Struthio camelus: one gene and its partners. The protein of the gene in region 2 interacts with the protein of the main gene of each other region in a biochemical or structural test. Links are inferred from orthologs where the notes say so. Each region holds a gene or a part of one and is shown on either strand. Other genes may lie near its edges. The genes, in order: ARF5, RAB11FIP3 and ARF6.

Region 1 (10,629 bases), on a different chromosome or scaffold from region 2:
CTCACTCACCCCGGTCTCTGCGGGCAGTGAAAACAGGAGCCAGGCTGACACAGAGATGGTTTCTACGCGTGCCCCACGCAGTTTGGCCCTGTGGCAGCTAAAAGGCTTGGAAAATCAGCAGCTAAATGCACCTCCATCGGGGCAGGGAAAGCACATTCAGAGCAGCACTGAGCAGTCCACTGCTCCACGTCCCAAGAGCTCAGCTCTCGAAGCACGTTAGCACCCCGGGCAGCTCGAGGCTAGCAGTGAGGCCATGCAGAGCACAGGGAAAGCAGCGTGGTTACGGCGAGAGGCCTCCCAGGACGTGTGACATCGTGTCCCAAAACAGAGTTCCCACGTTTGGGATGAGCAGCCCCAGCTCACCCCTCAACCAGATCCCACTGAGAAGGTGACTGGGGACTGCATGCCGGTGCCCGAGGGCACCCAGACCTCCAGCCTCCCCAGCCTTCCCACCCCTCCTGCCAACCCTGACACAGGCCACAGGAGAGCGCTTTGGAGAGTGCTCCAAACACTCGCCTGCCGCCACACTGTGCGTGGGCTCCTCGTGGACTCAGGGAACGTTCAGAACACAATAACCTGAGAGCAGCAGGCTCCTGCACTGGCCGTTTCAGTGCCTCAGCTAAAGAAAGCCCTAAGTATAACCAAGAACTGTGTTTTCTTAACTGTGTTTTCTTGTGTTTTTTACCCCTCTTGCAATTGCTCCTGATCACTACAGTTTAAGCCTCTGCCTGGTAGATTAGAATTGTCGTCTGATCCTTAAACCTTGTCTCCTGGGAAGCAATCTCTGTGTCAGCAGACAGACGCTTGCTGCTCCTTTTCACAGGGAGAGACAAGTCGTTTGACAAAAACTGGTGAATGCTCCAGTCCCTGCCTCATGCTGGCACAAAGGCACTTCTGCAGGGCTGGGGCAGATACTTTCTGTGCCCCAGGACAGCCAGGCTGGCAATGCAACAGCCCCCTCTGCCAGGGCAAGCCAGCCTCCGTGCAAGACCAGATCTCTCAGCCGGGCACACGCAGTTCCCGCCAACACTTACCATCTTCTGCAGCTCATCTGCAGACTCTTGCACTCTTTCACGGTCATTGCTGTCCACAACAAAGATGAGGCCCTGTAAGAGAAGTCAAGGTTGGAGCAGGCAGCTTGTGCCCGGCCCAGCGAGGAGGTAGATGTCAGGGCAGCCTACAGACACCCCATGACAAACAGAGAACAACTCAGCTGCCTGCCAAGCCCTCCTCAGCCCATGCCCATGCCGAACCAGAGCAGCAAGGGTGATTAACCTTGCCCAATTAGTCCTACACCTAGTCCTCTGAAGGACTCTTATCTCAGACACTTCTCTTCCTGCTAAGGAGCTGAGGGAAATATCCAGATACAGTCCTTAGGGACCCATCTGGCTCACTGCACTGGGAGCCAGGAATTATTTCCTGCAGCCACTCACACGCTCAGTTCAGGCAGGATCATGCCAGAAGCTCCAAGGGACCACAGGCTGCTGGGACCCTGCATCGCTACAAGTCATGAAGTTCAACCAAGCACTATCCCAGATTTCCTCTAATCCCAAAGCACATGCCTGCACACGAGGGAACGAGAGTGACTTCAGCCGAGCTCCCTGCTCAGTTCCTCGTTAGGAGGAAGAAAGCCTGCCACCAGCCACTCGAGGACCAGAGGTGACGATGAGCTTCGACCTTTCCCCACGCAATGCCCTCTTTTGCTAAGAGGGGAGCAGGTTCATCCCACCGACCAGAACAGCGTTTGTTGCAGATGTGGGGGCCCATGACCCTTCGCCCCCCCAGCAGCACAGAGGCCTGAAGGGGTCCCCATGCAACAGCCACATCCACCGTGGCCTGCGGCGGCACGTACCTGCGTGTTCTGGAAGTAGTGCCTCCACAGGGGGCGGATTTTGTCCTGGCCACCCACATCCCAGACCGTGAAGCAGATGTTCTTGTACTCCACTGTCTCCACGTTGAACCCTGCAGGGGTGGCAGGAAGGGCAAGAAGTGACAGCACACACACTGTCAATCCTGCTGGCAGCCTCAGGGCTCTCAGACCACAGGCAAGAGACACAGGAGGCAGCAGCCCTAGTCTGATCAAACTCTGTGTTTCTGAGCTGCGGGACAGAGAATCGCACAGGGAGATGATGCAGCATCAGGCATACAACACCCACTGGTGTCTCAGGAGTGCAGGAAGGGAGACCAAGGTGCACTGCTGCATTCATCTGCCACCAATCCCCAGGGAGCATCTCTACCCCCAGCACCGCACTGTTAACACAATTCGGCTGTGCAGAGGGTCTAGGAAACACATGCTGCAGAGCTTCCTGCCCTCAGCCTGCTCACTCTGCAAGCTGAGCATCCCCACGCTCACAAGCATTGCCCAGCAAGTCTATCCTGGCCCTGCCAGCTCTCCAGGACCAGCACTGCATGATTTCACCAGCCAGCCCCTGGGAACATCCCCTTGAAAACCTCAGCAGCCCAGATGTGGCTGATACTCATGTACCAAAAATCACAGAACAGTTGGGGTTGAGAAGAGCCTCTGGAGATCATCTAGTCCAATCCCCAACTCAAGCAGGGTCATGTAGAACACATTGCACAGGATCGTGTCCAGGTGGATTTTGAATATCTCCAAGGATGGAGACTCCACAACCTCTCTGGGCAATCTGTTCCAGTGCTCAGTCACCCTCACAGTGAAGGAGTGTTTTCTTGTGTTCAAGTGGAAATTCCTGTGTTTCAGCTTGCGCCCACTGCCTCTTATCCTGTCACCGGGCACAACTGAGAAGAGTCTGGCACATCTTCTTAACATCTTACCTTCAGCTCTTTAGTCACACGAATAAGACACCACCCTGAGTCTTCTCTTCTCCAGGCTGAAGAGTCCCAGCTCTCTCAGCCTTTCTTAATATGACAGATGCTCCAGTTCCTTCATCATCTCTGTGGTCCTTTGCTGGACATGCTCCAGCAGGTCCATGCCTCTCTGTCCTGAGGAGCCCAGACCTGGACTCGGCACTCCAGGTGTGGCCTCACCAGGGCTGAGCAGAGGGGAAGGATCACCTCCCTCGACCTGCTAGCAACGCTCTGCCTAATGCAACCCAGGAGGCCACTGGCCACCTTTGCTGTAAGAGTATGTTGCTGACCCATGTTCAACTTGTTGTCCCACCAGGACCACCTAGGCCTTCTCTGCAAGGCTGCTCTGCAGCCAGTTGGCTGCAGACCCCAGCTTGTCCTGGTGTCTGGAGTTATTGCTCCCCAGGGGCAGGACTCTGCCCTTCCCTGTGTTGAACTTCATGAGGTTCCTCTCTGCCCATCTCTCCAGCCTCTTGAGGCCCCTCTGGGGTATCAGCCACTCCTCCCCCTTTTGCATTGTCTACAAACTTGCTGAGGGTGCGTTCGGTCCCACCACCCAGGTCATTAACGAAGGTGTTAAAGAGTGTTGGCCCCAGTATGGACCCCTGGGGCGCACCACTCGTGACCGGCCTCCAGGTGGACTTTGTGCTACTCATCATAACCCTCTGAGCCCAGCAGTTTAGCCAGATTTCAGTTGACTTAGTTAGCGTGTCCTTCACCAGTTTGTCTGAGATGTTATGGGAGACAGCGTTGAAAGCCTCCCTAAAGGCTTTCCACCCGTGCGCCGGCAGGAACAACAACCTGTCCTGCCTTTAGAGCTCGGGCAGGCTCTGAAAACAGCACGTGGCGGCCTCCTCGCCAAGCGAAGTGCCTTTGAACCAGACCGAAGCAAGATCACGCTGACGTAAGGGCTTCAGTTCAGCGCTTGCCAACACAAGGCAGATGAGGAGCCGCAAACCAAGCTGCGCGAGCGCAAGGTGGCCCACAAGCCAACCCTGCTCGCCGAGCGAGGCGGCGCGCCCGGCAAGGCTGCAAAGGCGGGAGGCGGCAGGCGCTGCCGAGGCCCCCGGCCTCCGCGCGGTAGGGCCGCTCGACCGCGCCGGGCCAGGACCACCCTCCCAGCCGGCCGGCAGCCCCCGGCACGCGGACGGGGCACCGGGCCGGCGACGCCAGCCGCGTCCAGGGCCGGGGGCGGCCGGGGGCGGCCCGGCGGCGGCCACTCACCGATGGTGGGGATGGTGGTGACGATCTCGCCCAGCTTCAGCTTGTAGAGGATGGTGGTCTTGCCGGCGGCGTCCAGCCCCACTGCAACAGAGAGGCGGCGGTCACCGGTGCCCCCAGGCCCGGCCCCGGCCCGCCGCCCGCCCCCGCCGCTCACCCATGAGGATCCGCATCTGCTTCTTGCCGAAGATGCGGGAGAAGATGGCGGACACCGTGAGGCCCATGGCGGCGGCGGCGGCGGCGGCGGCGGCGGGAGGGGAGGGACGCGACGGCCCCGCTGCCTCGGCGCTCCGCCGCGCCGCGCCACGCCCCCTCGCCGCCAGGCCCCGCCCCCTCCCCGCCAGACCCCGCCCCCTCCCCGCCCTCACTTAGCTAGACCCCGCCCCCTCTTAGCCAGGCCCCGCCCGCTCCCTGCGCCCCCGCGCCGCCCGGGCCCGCCTCCTGCCCCTCGGGCCCGCCCCCCCGGCCGCCACGCCCCCTTGGACGAAGCCCCGCCCCCTCGGCCTCATCCCTGCCTTACGGCGCCCCGCCGGAGAAGCCCCGCCCCCGGGGTTATTTAGGCCCGCCCCTCGCCGTGACACGCCTCCATGGGCCTCGCCCCTTCCCTCTGACGCGCGCGCGCGCGCGCACCCCCCCCCCGCTCCCGTCCCCACGGAAGCCCCGCCCACTTCCGCCCCCGCCCCTGCTGCCGATGGCGTATTGGCCCCCCCGGGGGGCGGGGCTGCGCCTGCGCATTGAAGCCCATTGGCTCCGCGGGCGGCGCTCGCGGCGCGTCTGTGGCGTGTCGCCCCCATGTGCGCATGCCCCGGGGGAGGGGGGGGGGAGGGGGAATCTCACCCCGGCGGATTGTGACGGGCGCCCCGCCAGGCGCCGCCCTCGCGCCTCGGTGCGGTTCGCGCCTGCGCAGTCCGATCTCCCGGGAGGGGGTGGAGGAGGCGGGGGGGGAAAAAAAACGGCGGTCTGGCGCGTGCGCACTGAGCCGCGGCGGGCGGCGGGGGGGGGGGCTCCGCGCCTGCGCAGTGGAGGCTGCGACCCGCCGGCCTGCAGGTGAGGCCCGGGCGGCGGCGGCGGCGCGGGCCGGGAGCGGGAGGGGGGGTTTGGGGACGCCCCCGGCGGCCCGTCGCTGCCCTCTCTCCTGCCCCGATGCCTCCCCCAGCCCCGGCGGCCCGGGAGAGGCCCCCTTGGTAGGGCTCCGGGCTGGCGGTGCGCGGCTGGGCCCTCCCCCCCCCCCCCGGTGGGGCCCGGTGACAGGACGAGAGGCAGCGGGCCCCGGCTGAAGCCCAGGAAGCTCTGTCTGAGCATGAGGAAAAACTTCTTCAGCGCGAGGGTGACAGAGCACCGGCACAGGTTGCCCAGAGCGGTTGTGGAGCCTCCCTCCTTGGAGATGTTCCAAAACCCACCTGGACGCGATCCTGGGCAACGTGCTCTCGGTGACCCTGCTTGAGCAGGGGGTTGGACCAGCCGGTCTCCAGAGGTCCTTGCCCACCTCAACCCTTCTGCGGCCTAACAGCAGCCCAGTATGTTTCTTAGGCTGTTCTGTTACAGGGTCATTAACTGGTGTCCCAGGGGGAGTCCAGCATGCTGGTCCTGATGAGCAACCTGCTCCTGTTAATCATAAATATGTCTTTGCTCTTTGTTTAGCCTGTGCACTGGTTTTCTCCTTCTCGTTTCAGATCGCACAGGGCATCATGGAGAAGTTTGGCATGAACTTCGGAGGTGGCCCAAGTAAAAAAGATCTTCTAGAAACTATTGAATCTCAGAAAAAGCAGCTTCTTCAGTACCAGGCTCGGCTGAAGGATGTTGTCAGAGCCTACAAGAGCTTGCTCAAAGAAAAGGAGGCCTTGGAAGCTAGCTTGAAAGTATTGTCCGTGTCTCATGAGGCAGATGTTGGCTTGAGTGGAGCTCACCCTGCGTCTGTGGCAAGCTCCAGCTCTTCCTTTGCCGATTCTGCTGATGACAGGAGTTCTGTTCACAGTGAGGATAGCGTGGGGACAGCCACCAGTGCAGACACGGCTGCCAGTCTGGCCAGTACCAAAGCTGAACCAGGAGCTGAGGATGATAAGCCTGCGGCCACTGCCTCCTCTCTTAAATCAGAGGAGACAAGCGGTTCAGAGAGCGGCATCAGCACAAACAGCGGAGATGTGCCATCATCTGCTGGTGAGGCTGATAAAAGAGTGCTCCAGCTGAAGACTCAGCTGGCCACCTTGACCAGTGCTCTGTCCACAGTCACACAGGAGAAATCTCGCATGGAAGCTTCATACCAAGCAGACAAGAAGAAGATGAAACAAGACCTGGATGATGCCGTTAAGAAAGCAGAGGATGAGAGGGACAAGTTGGAGACCGAGCTGAAGTCTGTCCAGGAACAGTTAGCAGAGACCAAAGCCCGTCTGATCACACAGCAGCATGACCGAGCCCAAGAACAGGGTGACCACGCTGTTATGCTGCGAGAGCTGCAGAAGCTGCTCCAGACTGAGAGGACTTCACGCCAGGACGTAGAGCTAAAGCTAGAGGAGACCAGGGAGCTGTTGGCTGGGAGGGTATGCCTGGCTGACCGTGCGGAGGGGTATGAACTGCAGATCAAGCAGCTGAGCCAGGAGGTAGAAGACCTGAAAAAAGAGTTGCAAACTGTGCAGGAAGAGAGCAACAAACCAGACCCACGGATACAGGATCTGCAGGAGGAGATGGCCAGTCTCAAGAATCACTTCCAAGTGCAGCTATTGCAAGAGATGAGAAAGGTAATTCCCTGGCTGTGTGCTTGAGCAGCTTACTCTGCGGGACATAGCAGCAGCAGTCAGGGGGCAGGGTTTGACTGGAGTGGCGGCACAATTTCCCTTCCCTGTCCAAGAAGTTTGAAATAAGTAAGAACATCATGGCTTTATTTGATGAGACGGTATTCCCTGAGGAAAATAAAGGCTGTTTGTGGTTCAGTGTGTAAGTCATACTATGCAGGGGCTAATGACCATGGGCGTTGGGAGCAGCCTTTATGAGGTGCTTGGGCTGTGGCTATCCTCTAGAGCGTCATTAGGTTCTGAACACGTTATCATCTGGTGTGATAGTGGCTGGGATGGGAGGAGAGACCTTTGCTTTGACTCACTGTGGCAATGAATGTGCTCTTGTCCTTGTAAAGTATTTAAGGGCAATGCAAGGTACAACTACTGTAGCTCATAAAAGGAAATAACTTCTAATGCAATGTTCTGTAAATCGGTAGGACTTTCCCCGGATGAGTGTGGAGATAATTGTGAAATAAGGCCTCTCATGCCTTCGTCTTCAGGGCCTGCACTACTTGCTTGTTGAAGTCATGAAACCATCTTTCCCTTTTCCTATTCTACAGCATGGCAGATGAGAGATTTCTGTGAATTTCACAGCTGCTGTGACAAAAGCTATCAAACTGCAGAGGTTCTTGTCTGATCCATTGTGAAAGATGCTGTGCAGCTAAAGGTGACAGCCCATCCGTGCTGATGGGAACAACATAAACTGGTTTGGCTAGCGTAAGCCCAGGGAGCTTCGTGGCCTGTGCTATTGAAGGGCCTGGGGTTACTTTTCAGTGAAGTTTGAAGAGCTCTGGGGAAAGAAGAAAGGTAAATATGAGAAAAAGGCTCTTGCCTGCATGCATGTGGGGAGAGAAAAGAGCTAGAACAAGGGATGTGATGTAAAAGAGGAACCTGTGTAACTCTGTGGGTTGTGGGGCAACGTGCTCAGGAGATGGCACCAGTAACTGAATTTGCAGCCGGAAGCACTCCAGAATGGTATCCTCCTCATCCCTCGGCGTGGAACACGTTTTCTCCTTTCTAATCTGAAGGGTCTAATTAGGGACTAGGCTGATTTCACGCTATTTGCCTCTTTTTGGACGGTATCTGCAACACGTTCTCTGACAGAGGTGACAATGATCTGACCCCAGTTATGCTTTAATTCGTGATGGTCAGTCAAGTGCTGCCATTCAAATTTTCTATTAGACAGTTGGCTCTCGATAGCCATAAAAACTGTGAGCACCAGGTGTTTGTTGTAGTTACTCAGGAACCACTGAATTATGTTAATACCAGTGCAACAAAGCATAGCATTTAAATAAATTGTAGTTTGAGATATGAGAGTTTTAAAGCACGTGCATGTTTTTAAACATCCTATGTCAGACTGTGACATGAATTTGCTTTTTCCTACCCCCCACCAACCTGTAGCAATACAGATAACACTGCTGACAGGAATTCTGTTGGAGGACTGGGAGTAAAAACAAAAATGCCTTTGGTTTCTTTTATCCTTGAATCTCCCTTTTCAATACGGGCAAGTCAGCGTAGTGGCTTGTACAGGATTTTAGGGGAAAGGATGGCTCAGCCCTTGCCTGGAATTCATCAGAGCAGAATTAAGCCCCTGGGTAAACTGCAGACCTCCTGCAGAGAGTGTTGAGGTAATCTAACCCTCCCGTGTCTCTTTGCTCTCAGACTGCACAGGCAGAGGAGCAGCTCCGCCAGCACGCCCAGATGGAGGAGCGGCGAGTGGCTAGTTTGGAGGGCCAGGTCTCCGAAGTGTCCGAACTACTTGGCACTTACGAAAAAGCCAAGCAGAAAGACCAAATGGTCATTCAGAAACTGAAGGACCGCATTGTACAGTTGGACTTGGAGAACAAAACCCTAGCCATTGCTGCGTCCAGCCGCTCTCCTGCTGATATTCATCTAGAAGAAAGCAACCTTGATGTGAATGTGCTAAAGGATAAAATGGAGAAGCTGAAGAAGCTATTGCAGGCAGCAGCTAAGAAGAGTCAGCCTGCTCTGGACTTCGAGAAGCTGTGTGAGCTGGAGCTGCCGAAGGGCACTGAGACTGGGGATGGCGAGAAGGCAACTGCTTTGTACTATCAGCAGGAGCTAAAGCAGCTGAAGGAAGAATTTGAAAGGTACAAGATGAGGGCACAAGTGGTCCTCAAGAACAAGTCAGCCAAAGATGGCAATCTGGCTAAAGAACTGGAGGAAGCTCAAGAGCAGCTGGCTGATCTGAAAGAGAAATATGTTGTACTTCGACTGTCCTCTGAGGAAATGGAGAAGCAGCACCAGCAAGATATGGAAGCCAAGAGGCAAGAGCTGTCCCAGCTGCAGCAAATTCACAGGCAGGAATTAGAGCGATGCCAGCTGGACTACAGGGAACGGACACTGAAACTGGAGGAAGAAATGCACAAACAGCGGGACCGAGCACTGGCTGTGCTGGCAGAAAAGGACCAAGAACTGGAGCAGCTGAGATCTGTCACGTTGTCTTATGGGCTTCAAGGATCCAAAAACTACCTAGCATCAGGGACTGATGTTACCAGCAATGACTCATCAGGTAACGATTCTTCAGAGAATCTCCCCCAGGCTCTTCATCTCGCTGCCACCAGTGAGCCCACCTTCTTCTTGTATGCAGAGCAGCTGGCTCGCAAAGAGGTGGAAATTGTAGCGCTGAGGAAGCAGAAGCACAAGCTGGAAATGGAAGTTCACCAGCTCCAGGAGAAGATCCTGGTTGAGGAGGAGAAGCACCGGGAAGAGGTGTCCGTGCTTCAAAATGAAATCCAGAAGAATTTCAGAGATAAGAGCAGAGAGGGAGCCAACTTGGAATACCTCAAGAACATTGTCTATAGATTTTTAACACTGCCAGATTCTCTTGGTCGCCAACAGACTCTAACTGCCATATTGACTATTCTGCATTTCAGCCCAGAAGAAAAGCAAGCTATTACAAAACAGTCAGCTTACAGTAGCTGGTGGCTTTCTGGGAAGAGATGAGATGGTAGTTTTTACCCATAACAGTTTTTCTATAACATGTTTCTGGTTATTATCTAAAGCCAAATCATTTGTGGGATAAGCTCTTTCCAATCAGGTGCAATGGAGCAGAGAGCTTTCAGGAAAGAATTGGGCTTAAACTGGTGCTACTAGCACTAATCTAAAGTAGAATTGTTCCAACTATTCCAGTAGGATCACAGTGCTCTCGGGTGTGAGATTTCGCTCTAAGTGGGAACTTGATTTAAAAACAATTTTTTTGGAAGATACTGATGCTTTTTAAAATCAACTTTTAAAAAATCTTTGCCTGTCACGCATAGGATGGGGAACCCTTTTAGGGTGAAACTTGCTTGTATCTTGAAACTCCAGACAGGCTTGTGATTCAAAATATACTTAAAAAAAAAAAAAAAAAAAAAGCACTTGACGCAGTGCTAAAATAATTACATAACAGAAAGAACTGAAAGCCTGCAAGAAGGATGAATCTTAACTACCAGCATCATCCCAATGCAGAGAATCTTGAGCAATTTCAAAAGAGATTTTATGAGCTAGAATTAAATTTGTATGAGTGGGTGCAGCAGTTCCTCATAGCACTGGCGATCATCCTATGGCACCGTGTGTTAAGGTGCACTCTCACTACTGATGAAGAATTCTCTCTGAGCAGTTACGTGTGATTCCCAGGAAGGGAGGAAGGAAGATATTCTAAGTATTTAACATTCGTACCCTTCTAACTGTAAAGGAGCAAAGCGGTGATTCCCCACCATTTTCAAACCAAAAGGTCTTATGTACCCATCGTGTTAGAATAAATGTCTAAGCTTTCTAACCCTTTTTGAGGTGAGAACCAGGATATTAC
Region 2 (10,437 bases):
GGGGGGGAGGGGGGAGAAGAAACTGGACTTCCTTAAGGCCCTTTACCTTAGGGTAAGGAGGGCTTTTTTAGCTTTTACCTGTGCTCAGAGTGACCCAGATCTTGAAACTATAAGAAAAGTACACTGAAAAGCTGTAGTGTGACAGCATCCAGACTTCATTCCAGAAAACAATTGCTGAGACTTGGAGAGTTTTTCATTAGGAAAATAAAAATAAAATCCTTGTCTCTGCATCCGCTGTCTGGAGTTTTCAAGGCAGAGTACCTGCTATGCCGAGACCCGATTCCTTCCGCAACATCCCAGTCAGGCTGGCCACCTCTTTCCAAGAAGCTGATAAAAGGTAAACATGGAGAGTTCAGCTGAGGATTAGCCGATTTGGAGCAGAAGGTGGTTGGTAGTCCAGGGCAGATATTTAAAGGATGTTAATATTAAAGAAAGGGAAACAAAGCACACTGAAACAAAGCTTGAACTGATCATCAAGGGGGGGAAAAAAAGGTCAAAGATCTCTGTCAAAACACAGGAAGCAGAGATGCTGTATTGTCTAACCTACTTTCAAATATGCCAAGCAAATTGCAGGGACTTATTTTAATTGAACTGAGGTAGAGAGATCATGTGGTGCAAAAGGCTTTTCCATCTCCAATTATCTTCTAGATAAAAAAAGAAAGAGACAGCAGGATAGCTTCCCCTCATGCATCACAAACACTTGTTTCTCCTCCTCCCCAACACAATCCGCCGTTTCTAGCTAGTAACAAAGCCGGTGAGAAAAGGCTCTGCCTTCTGTCTCACTGCAATCAGACACATATACTGCAACTGTAAAACAGGCAAGACAAATTATGTATTTGCTGCTTTAAAATCTTGTGCGATAAGCCTCAGACTCTGTATAACTCACGTAAATGGAAGATACAACCCTCTGCTTTGCAAGGTGACATAACAGTTACATAAAACATGACTCTGTACTTCTTCACTTGCTCTCCGATTTGATACCCTAATGCTTTTCTTCCCCCTTCGTTACAGGGTCTCCCCGTTACCCTACTCCCGCGTACCGCTCGCTGGGGATCCCCTGGGCCACGACAGCATACAGAGCAGCTCCAGGTGAACGCCGGGTGCTAGGAAACGCGTAAAAGTAAGAGGAGGGGAGATAATGAAAATACAATGCCGCTAGGAACTGCCTCATGAGCTACTAGTGAACAGTCCACGGAGGTTGGTATGCTAAGTCAAGCCGTCCTCAAGACCTATCTTCCCCTGTGCACGCCTCGTTTAGGCGTCCGCGCGGCAGTCTGCGTTCGACACACGCGGCCACTCGTAATGGCCTGCAGAGCCCTACGTGGGGCCGCATCTCCTAGGGCCAAGGCTACCCCTAGCTAAGGGGTCAAACACTGGGACCTCAGTGCCCATCCTTTCCATACAACGCTTTAAACAAAGGTACTGGTGACAGCTTTGATCCCTATTAACTTTCATCATTTCAAAGAAGAACAAATAGTCTTTAGCTTTCTATGCCTTGATGTCTTCTACTCCATACTAGCACTACGCCTCCCATTACGCAGCCATGGAGTTTAAGACAGTCTTTCAACAACCCAAACTACCTCAAAAACAACAAAATCCCCCAGACCAAAACACCCCAGTTTCTCCTATGCATGGTTTTGATCACGCGGAGAAGAAATCCTAACAGAAACTCAACTCCATTTAATCTTTTATGGAATAAGCGTCCGTTGGTCTCTTTCCTTTGACATTTAGCTAATAATTGTTTCAGCCAAATAACCTGAGAGCACTGAACTCAGTAGCCCATAAATGCCTCTGGTGCTTTAGTGAATGCTAAACACAACATTTGCTACTCTCCAGCTCTCCGCTACATATTGTTTTACACACGTGCTTCCTTAACCCTTCAGCCCTCTGAACTCTTAGATGAATCAGCTAGCTCTGATGACTTGCTGTGCTTAAATTTAGCAGTTTGTTCCAACACCTCATTCATACCTTCCACGCAGCCACCCGTGTGGGCGGTGGTTAGGAGGAAGAAGGGGGAGAAGGAAAGGAAGCAGGTACCTCCAATTCCTAGACAAGAGATAGAGCAAAGAGGACTGGGACCGGCTCCTCATTAACTCCTTGCCAACCGAACAACTACTCGACAACTTCATGAGCCATCAAACCCTTGGGAACTCTCTTGCAAGCCTCCCAAGTCCCAGTTTTAAGTATAACCTTGGTTATACATCTTGAAATTTCATTTTAGTCACCTTTAACATCATTTTACCCAACCCATGATAATCCTGCCCTTTAACTTTCACCTGAGCTGGATTTTCATTTTTCAGAAGGCCCATTTTTGGCCCAAGTTACATTTGCTTAAAGCAAAAGAGGTCAAGAAATTTCCCCACACACCTTCCTCCACTGTTCAATATATCTGCTGGAAACAGATCTCACCAACAACCCTTTCCCCACCTTCATGCTCAGCATGTTGTCTTTCTTTTCTGAGCTGCAAGCTAACATTAAGTCTTCTCACAAGCGCAAGCATCATAAGCTTACATTTTCTTTTTTGGCATGCCTCTGCAAAAGGTACTGGGCTTCATTCCCTGGGATGCCCATTACCTGTTGGCTCAGCTGTCGTCACATCAGTCTTGCCAGGATGTTCCAGGACTTACAGTACCAAGAGACAGTTGTTCAGCACATGGAGAACTAGCTATATCAATATATATTTTTTTTCAGCAACACACATATACGTACAGCTATATATCATAGAGCGTGTGTGTGTACTATATAGGCACACACTTTATATAGAGATAGATAGCTAGAGAGATGAAAAGCACAATATAGCTCTGTGCGGACAGCATTACCGATAACTGTTCTCTGCAAGAAGAAGGAGGGATTTGAAGAGGGAGCTGAGACGAGAAGCCTGCACGCAGCCGTTCGCGAGCCGGGTCAGTTCAAACGGACGATGCCCAGCAACACGAGAACCCCCTGCGCAGCCCGCTTCACCCGGGCTAGGCCTTAGCACCTCGCAGCCCCCGCTCGGGGCAAAACCCCAAAGCGCTTCACGGCTAGTTTCGGCACCTCTGAAGCGCTGGCACACAGTGACGGGGGGGGGGTCCGCTCCCGGCTGCGCGGGCTGTCGGTGGGGCCGGCCGCACCCGAGCTCAGCACCTCCCTCCTGGGCCGCGGCCCCGGCTCGCAGCCAGCGATGCTTCCCGGGCGCCAGCCGAGACAAAGGAGTCACGCTCCTCCGCTTTCCGGCGGCGGTTAAACAAAACGCCCCCCGAACAGGTGCTCCGGCCGTGAGGCGAGGCGCTGAAAGCCCTCCGCCGCCCCAGACGCTCCTTCCCGCGCCAGAATTTGCTTTGTCATGCCGCGGAGCGGCGCGGACGCGGCTCCCGAGCGCGGCGGGACGCGCAGCGGCCCGAGGGCGCCCGCGCCCCCGGGCAAAGGCAGGGAGGGGGGAGGCTGCCCCGGGGCAGCGCTGCCCCTCACCGCCGCGCAGAGGCGCCACGGCTCCCCCGCACCCCGGCGGCCAGCGCCTCTCGCCACGTCGGGGAGGGAGGGGGGTTCAAACCACCTCGCACCTGGCCCGCCACGAGGCGACGCCCGCCGGCGGCAGCGGGGCGGAAACGGGAAGGAAGCGGCGCGGCCGGCGGCCCCGGTGAGGGGCGGCCCCGCACCCCGCGCGGAGGGGCCGCGTGGGGCGCACGCGGCGCGGCCGCAGCGCGACGCCGCCAGGGCCGGGCCCGGCCGGGGGGGGGGGGGGTGGGGGGGGGAGGCCGCCGCCGCCGCCGGGCCGCTCGCTCACCTGCTCGGCGCCGTAGGCCGTGGCGAACTGCACGAACTCCTCCACGCGCACGAAGCCGTCGCCGTCGCGGTCGAGGGCGTCGAAGACGGCGCGCAGGCGGGGCTCGTCCTCCCGCAGCGCCGGCGGCTCGGCGCAGCCGCCCTCCTCCGCGGCGCCCGGCTCGGCCGCCTCAGGGGGCGGCAGGCCCGGCCCGGCCGGCGGCTCCCCCCGCGGCGGCGGCTGGGGCAGGGCCGCCGGGGGACGCGGCTCCATTTTCATCGGCGGCGCTCAGAGCCCGCGGCCGCCGCCGGCGCCCGCCCCGCCGCTGCCTCCGCGCCGAGCCCCGCGGCGGCGCCGCCGTGCCCCCGCGGCCATGGCCCCTCACACGGCGGGCGCGGGGCGGCCCCGGTGGCGCTGCCCTCCCGGTGCGCTGCGGCCCGGCCCGGCCCGGCGCGGCGCCGCCGGCTCCGCCCGCTCCCGGGCAGGGCTTTGTGCGAGGCGGCGCCGGCTCCGCCCGCCGCGCCCCGCCCCGCCGCGCCCGCCCGCGCCGCGCTCGGCCCTGCGGCACCGGCCGGACCCACCGGGGCGCCCGGCCGCTTCCCGCCGGCGGCGGCGGCAAACAACCTCCCCGCCCGCCCGCGCGGCCGCTCGCGGGGGAGGCCGCCGCCAACGGCGAAATTTAATCCAGTAGCCGCCGCAGTAGCTGGAGCGGTGACGTCACTCGCCTTCCAGCGTGCCCCCCGCCGCCGCCCGCGCGCGCGCGCGCGGCCGCAGTTAAAGGGCCAGGCGCGAGCACGTGCCGCCCGCGCCGCGCGTCCCCCGGCCGCGCCCTGCGCCGCCCCCACGGGGCGCTGCGCCCTGCGCACCCGCACGCCGTGCTGCACACGGGGCATCCCGCCAGCCTTGTCATGCACCGGCCCCGGGCATCCCACCAGCCTGCCCACGAGCCATGCATCCTCCAGGCCCTGTGCATCCTGCTGGCCTCCCCTCCCCATGACCCATGCATCCCGCCAGCCTCACTATGCTTCAGGCCCTATGCATCCCACCAGCCTCCCCATAACCCGTGCATCCTGCCAGCCTCACCGTGCACCAGGCCCCATGCATTGCAGCAGCCTCCCCATGCACTGTCCATCCTACTGCCCTCACCATGCGCCAGCCGCCGTGCATCTCATCAACCTCCGCACGTGTCACCAGGCTCGCTGTGCATGGCACAGCTGTGCTGCCGCTGCTCCCTGCACCTCGTTTCCCAGTGCCAAGCAGCAGGGTGCCCAGGGCAGCGCTCCCAACCTGGCTGGTGTCACCACAGCAGCACCAGCGTGGTCCCCAGCACACTGCCCGGCCAGGCTGCGCGCTCCTGCCCACCCCCCCAGGCCACGGAGCCGTGGGCGCTAACGGCACAGCTGGCTGCAGTAAGGCAGCCCCACTGGTCGGAGTTACAGTCCACCCTAATCATTTAACACCCAACCCTGGGAGCCGGAGCAGCCTCTCACTAGCCTCGTGCAGCCCGGGGGCACCTGTGGCGATGCAGGTGCGCGTCGCTGCCGTTGCAGCCCCCAAGCCGCCCCCGCCTGGCCTGCGTCCTGCTGCAGGGGAAGGAGGCGCAGGGAGGGCTCTGGGCCACGAGGCTGGCAGGGGGCACACGCACCTCTCCCGCCTTGCCCCGCTCCACCCGCATTCCCTAGCCTAAATCTCCTTTTCGGTTTCATTTTAAACCATCTTGGTCCTCCCGGTCTCTCTCCCTTCTGCCTTGCAGGTGCAGCTAGAGGTTTGCACCATGCTTTCCGCAGGCTGCCTGAAGCTGTAGCACCGACGACTTTCGTTCGTCATGTAATTCCCTGCCGTGGGTAGAAACAGCTGCTGGGGTTAAGCAGCCTCCCCCGGAGGGAGGAAAAAACCTGTCTGACCCAGGTGAGGATCAGGCTGCTGCTGGAAAGGTTTGAAAACTCATCTTAGCTCCCCCGAGCTGTTGTGTGCGGTGGAAGGGGGTGGCTGCGGTCCTGCCGGGGGAAAGCTGCTGCCGGGAGCTGCTCGCGGCAGCGGCTGCTCGCTGCCCGAAGCGTCGCCTGCAAAGGGAACCATGCCGGGACCGCTGCAAGGCGGCAGATCCCCTCTGTGCTGCAAATCAATCCCCCGGGTTCGCGACACAGTGACGCGTGAGCGAAAGCAAAGGGTTTCCTGCGAGGGGATAACGGCCCTGCCGCGCTGCCCAACTCGCTGCACGGCCGCGGCTGGCTGCCTGACGCGGCAGGACCGGCTCCCTGCGACCTCTGGGCTGTATTTTAGGTGCATCGGGTGATTCGAATAAGCCCCGCTCTGTTCTCAGCCTCGGCTCTCGCTCATCTTTAGTTAGTCCATAGGGAAAAACATGCTCGTGGCCACTGCAGGAAGTGAGATCTGGGCCTTAAAGAAAATGGAACAAATGGCTGAAACAGCTATTTAAGGTCACCAGCAGCTGCTGAGCTGCTCGCAGGGAAAGCGGGAGAAGCTGCTTTGCCTCCTCTGAGGCTCTTTTTCCTGATACTCTGCAAAAAAAAAAAAAAAAAAAAAAGCAGCTTCCCCTTGACAAGCTCCGGGGAACTGCCAGGTCTCCAGCTCCTCCCGTCTCACTGCTCTCGCCGATAGAGGAGGACTCGGCTCCTCGCAATGGGTCACGCGCCACGGCCTGGCCTCGTCCGCCTCCCGCAGCAGGAACAGCGAGAAACCTGGCCTGGGGAGAAACCGCCAAGAAAGCCTAAAGCAGCAAAAACAACCGTAAAGCCACTTCAGGGACACGTGGCACAAGCACCCGGCCGGCAGCAGGGCTTTCCGCGGCTCGCAGGGCAGGATGGGGAGCACCCGCTCCAGGACCCTGGCTCTGCGGGCACGGGAGAGCAGACGTTTCTAACGTGAGGCTCAGCATGAAGCCAGGATTTGGGAAAGATGCTGCCCATGTGCTCTCAGGAGGACAGAGGTCTCTTCCCCTAACCGCTTTGGATCCTCTTTGATCGCAGCTGGTTCGCACTTCCTGGCAGAGCGATGCCTCTCGATACCAAGGTGCAAGGGGGAAAGCGCCTGCTCAGGAGCCTGTCAGTAGGCTCTCACCCAGCCAGACCTGCCGCGCGCGCCGCAGAGGTTCCCGCGCGTTGGGGCTGCCCCGGGGCAGAGGGCTCAGCCAGGCAGCGGGCGACGCGGGCTGCTCTGCCCGGCTCCGGCCTCGCCACCCGCCCAGGCCGCGCTGCACGCAGGGGTAGCACCCGCGTCTGCCGGGCAGGGAGCCCGGCTCAACGTGACACCTCCTAGGCCTGGCAGCAGCTCCTGGGCCGCAGCCAAGGCCGCCTCTCCTCCGGCACCTTTCCTTGCACATCTCTCCCTGCTGCACCGAAGCGGGGAAACCTCGCACCGCTCCCCGCAGGCGAACGGCAGCGCGGGGACCTGCCCGATGTCCTGCCGGCGGTCGGCGTACGTCACCTGACTGCAGCTCAGAGACAGCATCGAAGCTGCGGGAAACCGAGGGGGCCACAGCTCTGCCTGCACCTCCCTGCGCTATCCCAGCCTCATACTAGCACATCCCAGGCGGTTCCCACTGAAGCCCCTCAGTGTCACTGCGTCCACTGCACACGCACCGAGGGGCTGCCACGGGGCTGGCTAGAGCAAAACCTCCAAGAGCCACCACTGCTGTTATCACACACAGGGACAGACAGCCCCTGGCTCGCTTGGTCATGGTTAAACAAGACACAGTTAAATACGTGCACCCTCTGAGAACAAGGGGTGCAACTCAGAGAACAGACCGTACCTGAGGGGCTAGGACCAAAAAGCGTCACATAAGTACCTTCTCCAAGAGAAAATACTTGTCCAAAATTACCTGGGAAGAGCAAAGCCAGAGCTTATGATCAAGGGCTGAAGCCAGCTGCACTCCAAGGGGGGAATTAGGCCAATTTCTCATTGTCAGGACAGTGAACTGCAGGACAGGACATGAGGAGACAGTGCAGTGAGGCCGGTTGACTTCCTGGAAGATATATCTCGGCCAGAACGGTCCACACACCCACTCTGTGATCACAGCTGTCCTGGGACCCCAGGCCTGGCAGGAAGACAGCCCATGGTGCTTCCTACAGCCCCAAGAAACAGCATCCCCCTTCCTCAGCGCACACAGGCCTGGGGCAGGAGGTGGTGGGTTGGTTCAGTACATCACCAATGTGACTCCTGGGACAGCCTGAGGAAAGGCCCGGATCCTGGTCCAAACACATACTCGCCCCTCTGAAGGGGCTGGGGTCTCTCTCCCACGCAGAGTCCTTCAGTACCTCCGCCAAGGGACCCGATCCAACAGCTGCCTGCCAGCGTCTGCCCAGAGAGCTGGGCTGGGGCTGCGGAGGCAGTAGCTCCACACACAGCACTGGCCTAGGGTGCTGGGGCCAAGGAGCCTCCAAGCACTTGGGTGCCACAGAGCACTGCTAGTAGGAGTAGCGGTTTTTCCTCCTCCCTCAGGGCTTGATTGGGACCGCCAGTATCAGTCAGCACCCCAGGGTGCCCCACAGACAGCCTGTTTGCTTTGCTCATGCAGCAGTAAGCTGGCATAGCAACCTTGGCTAAAAGGATGCTCTGACCTAAGATGCAACATGGTCTTTCAACTCTCTTGCTGTTGAGACTACAGGTTCACAAGTGAAAAAGGGAAACAAGCAACCCTTTCCAAGCTCACAGCAATTAAAGGCAGAACAAATGTTGCAGGATCAAAACCTTGAGCAGGTGAACAGATGAGAAGTGTCACAGTCAAGAACAGAAGTTTTTTATTCATGGCCTGGAGGAAGGAGCAAAACTCGTCAAGTCTATAATCAAGCAGGAAACGCAGTTTTCTAAATCAGACTTCAGAGAATTCAAGTGAAGCTTAAAAACTGTCAGCAGCAGGGCACTGAACGCTGCAGAGCAGAGCCCACGAGCACACGATGGGTGTGTACCTCACGAGGCTCCAGCACAGGGGGCAGGTTTGCGTCCAGCAGCCCAATGCAGAACTGCTGCAGCTCCCTGCAGCTTGTCAGCTCAGTGGCCAGTTCAGAAAGGTCTGAACTTCAGCTAGCCCTCAGCGTGCCCTTGATTTACCCTCATCTGTAGTGTAAGTATTAAGAAAGGAGACAGCATGAGATAGCGTGACAGACAGACAGGGCTGACAGCAAGCTGCACACCCAGTCTCTTGAGAGAGAGCTACAATGTGCACAGCAGTACAGAACCATCTGTGGTTGGCTTTGGCCTACACACACCATCTCTATTCCTGGGATAATGGCTATCCCAACTGCATCTGTGCCAGCCTCAAGAGACCGCTGCCTCATCGAGGAACCTGCTCTTGGCCTAGCATTACAGGAGGTAACAAAGCCATTTCTGCTCCCGCCGGGGGCCAGGAAGGGGCTTGGCCCCTGTCTGCCCTCAGAGAACTGCCAGCTCCTGTTACAAAGCAAGAGATGCTCTGAGCACTAAGGCTAGCCTCATCCCTGCAGAAGGATAAGGCACAGACATGGCAGCTAGCAGTGACAGTGGGAAATTACACGGCTTTGCTCAACCCAGAATGGCCTGAAGTACGCGCCTTCCCAAAAAGGGGATGCTGCTGGGTATCTCAGGCAGGTCTCTGACCCAGGGGAGAGCCTGGGAAGGGGATGGATAGCCTGGGGGAGCACTGCCTGAGACTCAGGAAAAGCCAGGAGAACAACATGAAGGGGGACACAAACTGGACAGGAAACATCACAGCCTGCCCACCCCTTGCTGTCCTCGCAGTCTCAGCCATGTGAGCTCGGAAGAAAACAATGGCACAGAATTGGCATAGGCTTGCTCCCCACCCAGCATCCTTGGTGCTCCCTCCACCCAGCAGAGGCAGGATCAGCAGCGTCACCATCAACAGTCGCTTGTCAGAGAGGTAGTAGCTATCAGCTCCGTCTCTAGGTGATGTGACCTCGAGATGTCCCAGAGCAGCAGCGTTCGGTTACGTTCCTGTCCATCAGTCATTCCCAGGCTGTCCATCATTGATTTGTGTTTGCTCCTGCAGCCCAGACATCTGCAAGACAGCAGGGAGGTCGGTATGCGCAGTCCTGGCCAAGCTCGCCCTGCCCCAAGGAGCCTGCCAAGCCAGAGAACTGGGCAGGAGAGAGGCGGAGAAAGGATCCCCCCTCTCCAGAAAAACACAAGGCCTAGTAACCAAGTGCCAGCTCCCTTCCCACCTCCGCAGGAGTATGCAGCCAAAACAAGTCCTGCAGGCAATTCGACTGCAACGCAATATATGCTGCAGCAATTCGAGCAAGGAGCAAAGGGGAGGCAGAAACTGTCAGATTTCCTGTACCCAGTCTTGCTGGTAAAGGGACAGAAGGGCACCACATCGCTTAAGGAGGTGCTCAGATGTGTCCGTACAAGTATCCTCCAGAAGAAATGGCAAGAGATACTATGCCAAGCACAGGCTTAGAGGCAAAATCCCAGCAAGTTCTCCTGCCCTTCCCAAGTTATCCCTAGGGACTGTCAACCCCCAGGCTTCCCATCTTGCCCACTGCTACAGCCAATACCACAAAACCATCCAGCCGTTGCTTGGACATGAAGGATCTGGCTCAGCCTTCATCGAGCAGGTGTCAGAGCAGCAGGTACCACCAGTCAGCAGGGCTGTGCACCAGCCCTCACTCTGCAGTGCATGCTAGAGAGGCATGAGCTGGCTCTAAGAGGGGGAACTACCTTGTAAGTACCACGAG
Region 3 (9,821 bases), on a different chromosome or scaffold from region 2:
ACTCCACAAGCACCCTTATTCATAGTCATCGACCCTTTTGTGCATAGCTGCATTTTCCACATTAGCCTAAAATCTTCCCTTTCCAACCAGCTAGTTTCTTCTGTTAAACACGGCCCTGTCCTCCTCCGCCACAGCCCCTGTGTGCCCTCTCACAGAAGCTGCCGTGCACTGTATGACTTTTCCAAGTCCTCATGCAAGTTGCTTGGGGCTGGCAGCTTTACCAAAGTCATTACAGATTTGACACTGAAGTTTGCTAAAAGAAGATTATTAAAAGTGGGAGTATTAAAGAAGCATCATCCTTTCCATTTATAAAAATAGTCACTCATCTAAGTCTCAAAAGAATTACAGACAGGCTTTCAAAACTGTGAAATATAGAACAGAGACCTCTTTATGTCAGCAGAATGCACTACTCCAGTACCATCTTGCCCCTTTCTGTTTCTCTCATAATTAAATATAAGTAACATACCAGGAGAGCTCCACTGTGTAATTGCTTTATTTTCTGCTTATTAGTTCTTTACCAACACTACAGCCATATTGAGAACACAAAATTCCTGTTTACTTTAGTCAGGGAGATCACAGTCTACAAACTCATTCACTTATCGGACACGATTAACGCCATTCAAAACTTACTCCATAAATTCACATGAACACAAATTGATGCACTTAAACTTCAGATTAGTTTTTAAATCATTGGATTTCTTACAGATTGCCACTTTATCCTACAGGCTATGTTTACTGCCTCATAGCCACTAGTTCAAGGTGAGGTTCAGCTATAACCTATAAAGGACATGTTGAAAGTGAAAACTGTATTTTGTTCAGTAGCAATGGCCTTTTATTTTTGAAGTCTCTGCCACATGTTTCAGTAACTTTTTTCTCCCAAAAAAAGACATAAACAAAAAAACAGAAGCATAATCAGTTTCCTTTCACCTACAAAAACAGAATATCTAAAGTAACAAAGTTACTAAGGAAATACAAAATTGTGAATTCAACTTAATGCAAAGTCTAGCAAAGAAGTCTGCCCCAGCATTTGAAGAGGAAAAAAAAAACAGTAAACCAACTTAGACTGAAAATGAAGTTATTTAAGTTTTCATTTTGACTGAGAATAGATTTAAGAAAGTTCAAGAACCATTAATAGACCTTCAAGTTTTCCAGTTTAGGCATTTACTTTGTGCTTGGCTATTTTATTTATGCTCCAGAAGAAAACAATAACCATATTCTTATATTTTTAGTCTTTATACTACCACGCTATTTGTTAAGTTACATCAACAGAAAAAAGAATTCTTACGCTTATAAAAAAAAAAAAACCCTAGAAAATAGAGCAATGATATTCCAATGGCAAAAAGACTTAAGTGAAAAGCCTCACCTCCTCTTCTTCAGGACTGAGATTTAAGAGCTTTTGTACTGTACATGAAGCTTGTTTTTCCAGACTCTTATCTTTAACTTGCACAGGTTTATAATCAATCAGTGCTCTATCTTCTAGTATCAAGAACCCATTCAATCCCATTTGCAACCCACATCAAGATAAGTCTTCTTTCGGAACCATGCTCTAAGGTAATTTGTAAGTGGTCCAAAGCATACAAATTCAGAAGTGAATTCAGCATTTTTATCTTCCCATATGTCTTTGGTAAGAGCTCCATACACAATGCATTTAGCATGCAGAGTAAACACTGCAGAAATGTAGTGTAATGCCCCAATTTCATGTAAAACTCATAACCTTGGAAAAGGAAGGAAAAAAAAAAAGAAAGCCATTTTCTTCTGGTTTTGTAGCATACATTCCTAGAATTCCCCAATTGAATTTTAACTCCTTGAGGAAATCTGAAGTTAATCCTTAAGGCTGAATAAGAACCAGCTGCTTTACATTTTTTGCACCCAGTATTAATACTTGATTGAGATTTTATACTAATACAAATACTTGCTTTGGGTGGGTTTTTTTTGCCAGTCACATCTGAAAACTGTGACATGGCAAATGAGCTGCTTGCCCTTTAAGAACTAGTTATGGAAGTTTACATTCATAGTCGTCTTCTCACTCTCTCCTCCCGTTCTCATTAATAGTTACTCAATGGGCTTCAGACATCCAACATAGTTCCTTTCATACAGGACTACAGCAACAACATGCTACCGAGACAGATGGCGAAGACTGCAACTATTTGTATGAGTTAAGTCTAGTCTTGCAGAACTAAACCAGTAAGTGATTTCCTCAAAATGGCAATCATTCACATGTCAGAATTACTGAGCTCTGTTAAAGCTTCGCGCTGAACTTGCCCATTCGGGAGTCTACAAAATGGAAAAATAGGGTTCTGGTTCTCCTTTCTCCAATACATGCATTTCAGAAGTAACGAAAATAAATCCTTTTAAGGTTTAAAAGATGTCTTCAAGTGTCTTGAGATGAAAGCAACTTTTCTTTATCGCAAGACAGTAAAGTCAGTGCTAGATTTTTGCCTAAACGTTTGTGATTTAAATTAAAACTTGTCGCAATGGTTACACGTTATTGCTGCATTTTTTTGGAAGGAACATATCTTGCGTTGAATTGGAGACTGACACAAGTAATAAAAACTGCAGCTAAACATCATTAAGTTTGCAATGCAAGACAAAAACTGAACAGTATATACCCTGGAACTACTACATCATTCATGTTGTATTTGCTATATGGTTGCTATGTAGTATGGGGAACTTACTTGCATCCCTTCTCATGCATGATGTATGGTTCAGAACTTCACAGCTGACATTTCAAAGCAGTTCTTACATTACCTAGTTAACATTATGCCTGATATGCACTTTGAACATATTACAATGGTATTCTCACTATCTGCCACTGTAGGCAAGATTTCGTTTCATTATTAGTCTGAGATATGAAGACAGACTGAGAGTCACTATTTAGTTACAGATTAACAGAACTTTTAAAAAAGTCCTTAATATAAAAAGACAGACTGCAGTTTGATTTTAAGCAATAGTTTTCCGTTTACTAGATGAAGTAGACCTATCAACATATTCTGCATGGATGCAAAAAAGTAGCAATCTACAGCAAGTGATAGAAGAAAAAAACGTAATCAAAAAAGTAGAACCAGAAAGCATACGCTGAAAATGGTACCCCTCCCCCAACCATCCCCCAAAATAATCAAACCATCTTAAAGGCTATCAAGAGGAAAAAAAAAAGTTACTTAGCAAGTCTACAATGTGTCTTTCCCCTGTTTGCTGGAGGTCTGCCATAGCATCTAGTGCTTGTGTTCGTGTCACGTTTGAAGATTAGAGCATCCTAACGCCAAGCAAGGAGAGTTAAAACAGGAATCCAGTCAGTGTGTAGAACGAAAGGGTGGTAACTGGAGAAAGGTGATCATAATCCTATGGATGCTTTTGTTTTACTTTTCAGTAGAGAATCATTCGTCTGGAAAGCCATGTGGGTTATTTTTTTTTTAATTCTTTGTAGACTAAATAGTTATTCTCTCATTAGGATTTATAATTGGATGTTAACCATGTCAGCCCTTCGTAGAGTCCATCCCCTGTAGTAGCACAGGAGGGCTGCACGTACCAATTCCTATCCCTGATTCGGGTCAGGCCCAGTTTCTCCTGGATTTCATGGGGTTTCATGGCATCGGGCAGGTCCTGCTTGTTGGCGAAGATGAGGATGATGGCGTCCCGCATCTCCCTGTCGTTGATGATGCGGTGGAGCTCCTGGCGGGCCTCGTCGATGCGGTCGCGATCGGCGCAGTCCACCACAAAGATCAACCCTTGCGTGCCCGTGTAGTAGTGCCTCCAGAGGGGACGGATCTTGTCCTGGCCCCCGACATCCCACACGTTGAACTTGACGTTTTTGTAAGTCACCGTCTCCACGTTGAAGCCCACGGTGGGGATGGTGGTGACCGACTGGCCCAGCTTCAGTTTGTACAGGATGGTGGTTTTACCGGCCGCGTCCAGACCCAGCATCAGGATCCGCATCTCCTTGTTGCCGAAGATCTTGGACAGCACCTTGCCCATCTCGGCGGCATCCAAGGGGCCCGGCGCCGGCGGGGGGGGGGAGGGGGGGGAAGGGAGAGATGAGGGACGAGCGGCGACGCAGCCGAGCAGCCGGCGCGGGGCGGCGGCCCGGAGCGCAGCGGAGCGGGGCCGGCCCGGCCCGGCGCGTCAGGCCAAGGGCAGGCGGGGCTCAGCGCCGCATGGGCCGGCCGCGGAGGCCGAGACCTGCCGCTGCGGAGCGGGAAGACCGGCCGCGCCGCGCCCCGCTCGCCGGCCGGGCCTGAGGCGGCGACGGCGGCGGCAACGGCTCCGCCCGGCTCTTGCCTTGGCTGCCGCCCCGGCGCCTCAGCTCATGGAGGCCGGCTCAGGGGCGGCGGCTCCGCGTCCTGGCCCGCGCAGGCGGAGGTAGCGGGGCCGCCGGTAGTTACCTCAGGGCCGCCCGCGGGCTGGGGCTGAGGCCGGGGCCGAGGCCGAGGCCGGCTCCGCTGCTGGCCGCGCCGCGCCGCGCCGCTCCCCTCAGGCAGCTGCCCTCGCCGGAAAAGGCGCCGCGCGAGCCCGCCTCACTTCCCCCTCCGCCGCCACTGCGCCTGCGCGCCGCGCCCCCGCCCCCGGCCCCACCCGCCCTGCCCTCTGCGCATGCGCCCGGCCCCCCCTCACAGCGCGGCGGCGGTGGGGGGGGAGCGGGGCAAGCGGCGCCCCGCCCCTTTCCGCCCGCCCCCGCGCGGCCTCGGGAAGGGAACCGCGCGTGCGCCGGGTGCCGTCACGGCGGCCCGCCCCGCGCGCGTCGGAGGGAGCGCGCGCAGACGGAGCACGCCGGCGCAGAAGGGCGGGGCGGCGGCGTAGGAGCGCGCCCGATTTGCCCGCCGCGAGCGCCGCGCGTGCGCCGTCTGCGCACGCCCCGCCGCCCAGCACAGGCGAGGGCGGTACTTCCCGTACTGCTGCGCCTGCGCAGCGGGCCGGGGAGCAACGGGGCGGGGCCGGGACCGGGGCTTGCGGCGTGAGTGCGCATGCGGCAGCCGGAGGGGGCGGGGCGTCTGTGGAGAGAGGCGCCACGCGATCACACGTCAGCACACGACACGCGCAGGACGCCACGGGCGCTTCTTAAAGGGCCCGGAGCGGGGCGGGGGAGGTGGGATGGGTGTCGCTGCCGCTGCTCCTTGCGCGCATGCGCGGGGGCGGGCGCGTGCCCGTGCCCGCCCTGACGGCGGTTGGCGCCAACCGTTGCGCCCGGCCGCCTGCGCTTTGGGGGAGGGGTGATGCGCCTGAGGGGCCCCGCCGTCGCTGCGCGGCCGCCGGTGGCCCTGGCTCCTCGCGGAGGGACAGGTCTCACAGGGCCACCGAGGCGGGAAGGGGCCTCTGGTGCCTGGGGTCCGCCCTGCGCTAGGCCGCCCTAGGGAAAAGGGGCTGACGGGGAGGGGGGCCGGGCTCGTCATCGCCCTGCTCTGCCGTGCCGAGGTTGGCAAAAGGTTTAGGCCACCTTGTGGGAAGGGCTTTCTGAGGGAAGCCATCTGCGGGGGGAGCCTGTGCGGTCCCTTCTTGAGGTTTTAGGGTCACGCGCTTTGGAGCTCAGACAGAAGCCTGTGGAGTATGATCCAGAGTGCTTGAGCTGGGCTCATGCATGGTGCTGGACTAACTAATCCCTTAAGGTGTCGTCCAGTCTGCTGTTTTCTGTAATGCCGTAGCTGGAACATCAGACTGGCCCTCAGGGTCTCGACTCATTGCCTGCTAATGGAAGAGCAAAGCTGAACGCAGTGTTGGAGCCTCACAGGGAAGCTCAAATCCCGTGGTTGTGTCCCAAATCAATTACACTGAGGGTGCTCAGGCAACATACAGAAGAGGGATCCTGGCTAGGCCGCTCACTTGACCTGTGTGGTGGCGTAGAGCTGGTGGTATATTAGCTCCTGAATGATGCCCAGACGTAGCAAACGCCAACACTGGCCTTGGCAGGTGTTGGAAAAATTAACGTAGGTATGTTGAATGAATCGCTGTTAAAAATCTGTTAGTTGGGGGGAAGAAAGCAGGTCTCATCTGAGCACAGCACAAGCTGTATTTTCTTTAAGAAGAGGAAGTGCCAATGAAGGGCTTGCTGGAAAGGGAAGAAGGTGGCAGACTGGAGAAAGGAAGTGGGAAGTTGGGAGGCAGTGACTTTAGGGACATTATGAAGACTGTGTAGTGTCCGGTAGTTGGCAGGAGCAGTAGAGCAGGGGCAGGGAACAGACTGAAATGTGGGCGTGGAAGGGGCTTGAGCCCTTGTGTAGCTCTGAGTGGTCCTGCCTGACCCCTATGAGCCTGACCTATATGAGCCATAACTGAAAGGGTCATCATACTTAAATCTTTGAAAACCACAGAATATAAATTTGATGTTTGCCTTTTTTTTGTTTTTTAAGGCCTTGAGGAGGGCGGGCTGGCCCGGAAGGTACGTGCTGTATATTGAAAGACGTCACAGGATATGAAACCAAGAACAGTCCTACGCCCAGTCAGCTACTGCCTGCGTTATACATCAGAGTGTTAGACATGGCTGTATGGTTAGGAGCAGCTTTTTTGTGCCCTGGCTCGTGCCAAGCCAGTGGCTTCACAGGCTTGGGAAGAAGACAAGCAGGAGCACATAACTTCTGCAATATAAAAAAGCCTACATTTGACAGCACAAACCACATTTGCAGTATCACTAGCCTTGATGCAAGATGCTTGAGGATATGAGCACAACTCCCCCACTACCATGACAAGATTACAGGAGGAGTAAGGAGGAGGCTGCAGAAGCACGTCTCCCCCCATACCTACACCAGGAGTCAGGATGTCTCGGCTGCAGCCATGCCTGTAGCCTATGGGGGTGAGCCCTCCCCAGTGTTCTCCAAAAAGAATCTCCCCTGTTTTAAAACAAAACAACTTGGGATGTGTAGTGGCAGAAAGGGTTAAGGCTCTTTGGTGGGTGGTGTCTTGGGTCACTCCAGATAACTAGGATCAGTGGAACTTAAACCGTGGCTAACCAACCAGGAAATAAAGTGTTCAAATACCTGGCCACATTCCTCCACTGCCTTCCCTGGGAGCTGTGCCCCACTGTGCACCCTGCACGGTGCAAAACGGCTCCTGCTGCACGTACTTCACAGCCACACGTTGGGCCAGTTTCACAGACAGAAACCCCTGCCGTATGTCGCAACCCCGCCAGGCTGGGCTGCCGGTGACTAGGTGGCGAGGCCGGTACGCCAGGACTCACCGCCCCTGCACGGGGCAGCCCTGTGCTTCCTCGTATGCTCTTAGTCACCATGGGGCTGGTCCTCACCTGGTGATTGCAGGGCAGGCGTGCTGGAGCAGGGCCTGCCTGCGCAGGGCGTTAGCCCGCTTTGTGCTGGCAGGGCCTGCGGGGAGGAAGGCAGTGGGAAATGCAGCCTGTGTTGGTAGCTGTATGTGAGTCACAGGAGAGGACATGGGAAGGGGGGCCAGGGTACAAACCCGGTGAAATGTCCCCCGTGGTCCCCTTGGCATCAGTCTTCAGGAGGCCAGGCTACGTGGCTGCCTTCCAGCCTGCCCGGAGAGCACAGGTGTGCTTTTACTTGAGATTGCATGTGTAAGAGACTTGACCCTCTGTCAATCCCTCTGTCGCTTCAAAAATAGCAAATCTTTCATTTGGGTTAATTTTTATCACAGCCATATTTTTGCTGTTATGTGGCACATGCAAAGCAATCCCCCTTGGAACAGCAAAGGGGAAATCGTGTGCTCTCTTTGCAGTCTAGAATGAGAACGGGAGATTTCCTAGATTACGGAATTATTAAGGGAATGACAACAACAGTTTCAGAGGAAGCCTTTCTCTTTCATGCATTGAGCAAAGAGGGAGAATGCCAAGGAAAACATACCATCCGTGACCTCTCTTAAGCAGCACGTGCAGGCTGAGCTGAGGGTACGATCTGCTGACATCAGGCCTCACGAGTGTCCCTGAGTGCAACAGGCAGTGCCAGGGTTCATGCTCTGGTCTTTAAAGCAGCAAGTATTATGGCTGAGTACCATACTGCCCTGCAATTTACAGTGAGCCCTACCGATCCCCCTGGATACTGCCAGTTCAGTCTCATCTCTTTAGTAAAGGAAATTTATCTAAATGGAGTTTACTGCCAAGCAGGGCTAAAATTAACATCAGGATGTGGAGGTTAGTGGATTTGTACTTGGCTCTGTTCCATGAGACCATTTCAGTGTGTTGTGAACACCAGCAACAGTTCATTAATTAGACAGCAGTAGAACAAGTCTTGACCCAAATATTTGGGAGAGGAGATGTTGGGAGTTTTAAAGTACTGCTTCTGTACATGTGCAGGTATTGACTCCTCTACTCCCTGGCCTCGGATAAACCTTTTCTGGTTTCAGGAAACGACTGCTTTTTTAGCCTTCTTATGCATAAGGCATAAGCAGAGGGTGTAAGTGTACATGAGAGTTCTGTGCTTGCTTTTAATAGCTGAGAGTTGCCTTTGATGCCTTCTCCCAGGATCCAGCAGTTAAGAAACACTGATCTCAAGCAAAGTATGTCTGTGCTCTGGATTGCAGCCAGCACAGCGAGTGAAACAGTTAACAGGATCTTGAATGCTTGTTTATCTGGGCTGCAGGAGGTGTGATGGCTGGGCTGCAGAGCTGTGCCACCGCCCGCGGTACCATGAGACACAAAGCAAAACAAAATGAGTAAGTAGAGAGTGGGGAAGTACCATTTCCATCCCACTCTGCTTTGGATTCAGACATACCCTTCCTTGGGTCTCTTCTAAATAGCAACTGGTTCAGGTTTCTCAGTGACTCTCTTGCTGGCTGGGCTGCTCCCTCATTCTTGGGGACTGTCCGTAGATGGGGCTTGACCAGCTTTGTCTTTGCCCATTTCACTTGGCCAGCAGCTGGGTTCTGTCCACGCTGGTCTTCCTGATCTCCTCTTTTTTCCTTCCTGACAAGTGATGGGACACGTGTCATTGCTTGGCAGGAATTACTTGCTTAGGTACCAAGGTATTTTCAGGGATACTGTAGCTGTTCTTGGACTAGAGCCATTGAGGAGCCCACCTCTGTGCAGCAGGGCCTTCCCTTTGCCAAGAGGTAGTGCCACTTCCCTTCCCTGCAGGGTACCAGCATGCCTCTGCTTGATACCATCAAACGAAAGGGTGCTCCAGCCTCTGTTATCCCTTTGCCAGCACGGGCCTTCTCCTTCCAGAGCCCACTGCGTGCCTTGCCCTGTGCCTGCCCGAAGGTGCTGCAGATGTGGGCCTGTGGCTGAGCTGAGCGGTGCTGGTCCAGACCGTGCTGCGGGCTGTGGTCCGCACGTTCTGCTTAACTCCCTTTGCCCTGCAGGTCCCTGAGCCTGTAGTGAGTGCTCCCTTTAGCAGCTGCTTGTCCTATCCCTCTGCTGTGGGAGCTCCCTGGGGGCTGGCAGTGTCCCTCAGCTCTCCCACTGCTGCTGGTCAGAGCTTTCCAGCTTGGACCTGTTCCAGCCCTGAGCTGGAGCATATTACTGTATTCCTTTAGCTGTCACTGTGTGACATGCTGAGGGTCTCCGGAGTTGAACCTGGCATAGCCCAAGGCTAAAAACATGACAAAGCACTGTGCTGCCTTACTTCACAAAGTAATTGTGAAGCTTAAAAAGGCTTAATTCAGGACATGGGGGTGTGGCTATGTGCTGTAGAAGAGAAGTAGGATCCTCCCAGGCAAATACTTCTTCACCTGAACTGGGCTTTATTTGTAAGAATCCTCCTTGCCCTTCAGGAAAACTTACTCTCCATATGGTTTGTGGAGCTGAGTAAGATTTAACATGATTTGGTCTGTATTCTTTAAATAGCTATTAGTGTTCTTTAGGATCGTATAAGGCAAAGTGCATTCTATAAGCATAAGGCATTTGAGAACTCAGTTCCCAGATCTTG

Evidence for each region.
Region 1: the proteins of RAB11FIP3 (region 2) and ARF5 form a complex in vitro, tested with the Homo sapiens proteins (2 studies listed by BioGRID). The link is inferred for Struthio camelus from reciprocal best matches to the Homo sapiens genes RAB11FIP3 and ARF5.
Region 3: the proteins of RAB11FIP3 (region 2) and ARF6 form a complex in vitro, tested with the Homo sapiens proteins (2 studies listed by BioGRID). The link is inferred for Struthio camelus from reciprocal best matches to the Homo sapiens genes RAB11FIP3 and ARF6.

What each region holds. Positions count from the first base shown.
Region 1 is NC_090942.1:1,066,130-1,076,758, reverse strand, and holds the start of ARF5 (ADP-ribosylation factor 5), read right to left. Parts: upstream 4,370-10,629; 5' UTR 4,272-4,369; coding exon 4,205-4,271; intron 4,132-4,204; coding exon 4,051-4,131; intron 1,963-4,050; coding exon 1,853-1,962; intron 1,107-1,852; coding exon 1,035-1,106; intron 1-1,034. Other genes in the region: GCC1 (GRIP and coiled-coil domain-containing protein 1), read left to right, coding at 5,736-6,782, 8,481-9,785.
Region 2 is NC_090956.1:17,787,870-17,798,306, forward strand, and holds the start of RAB11FIP3 (rab11 family-interacting protein 3), read right to left. Parts: upstream 3,921-10,437; 5' UTR 3,767-3,920; intron 1-3,766. Other genes in the region: DECR2 (peroxisomal 2,4-dienoyl-CoA reductase [(3E)-enoyl-CoA-producing]), read right to left, coding at 9,724-9,758. UniProt on the Homo sapiens protein: Downstream effector molecule for Rab11 GTPase which is involved in endocytic trafficking, cytokinesis and intracellular ciliogenesis by participating in membrane delivery. Recruited by Rab11 to endosomes where it links Rab11 to dynein motor complex.
Region 3 is NC_090946.1:81,168,453-81,178,273, forward strand, and holds ARF6 (ADP-ribosylation factor 6), read right to left. Parts: upstream 4,157-9,821; 5' UTR 3,973-4,156; coding exon 3,445-3,972; 3' UTR 476-3,444; downstream 1-475. UniProt on the Homo sapiens protein: GTP-binding protein involved in protein trafficking that regulates endocytic recycling and cytoskeleton remodeling. GTP-bound form plays an important role in the transport of multiple palmitoylated proteins form the Golgi to the plasma membrane.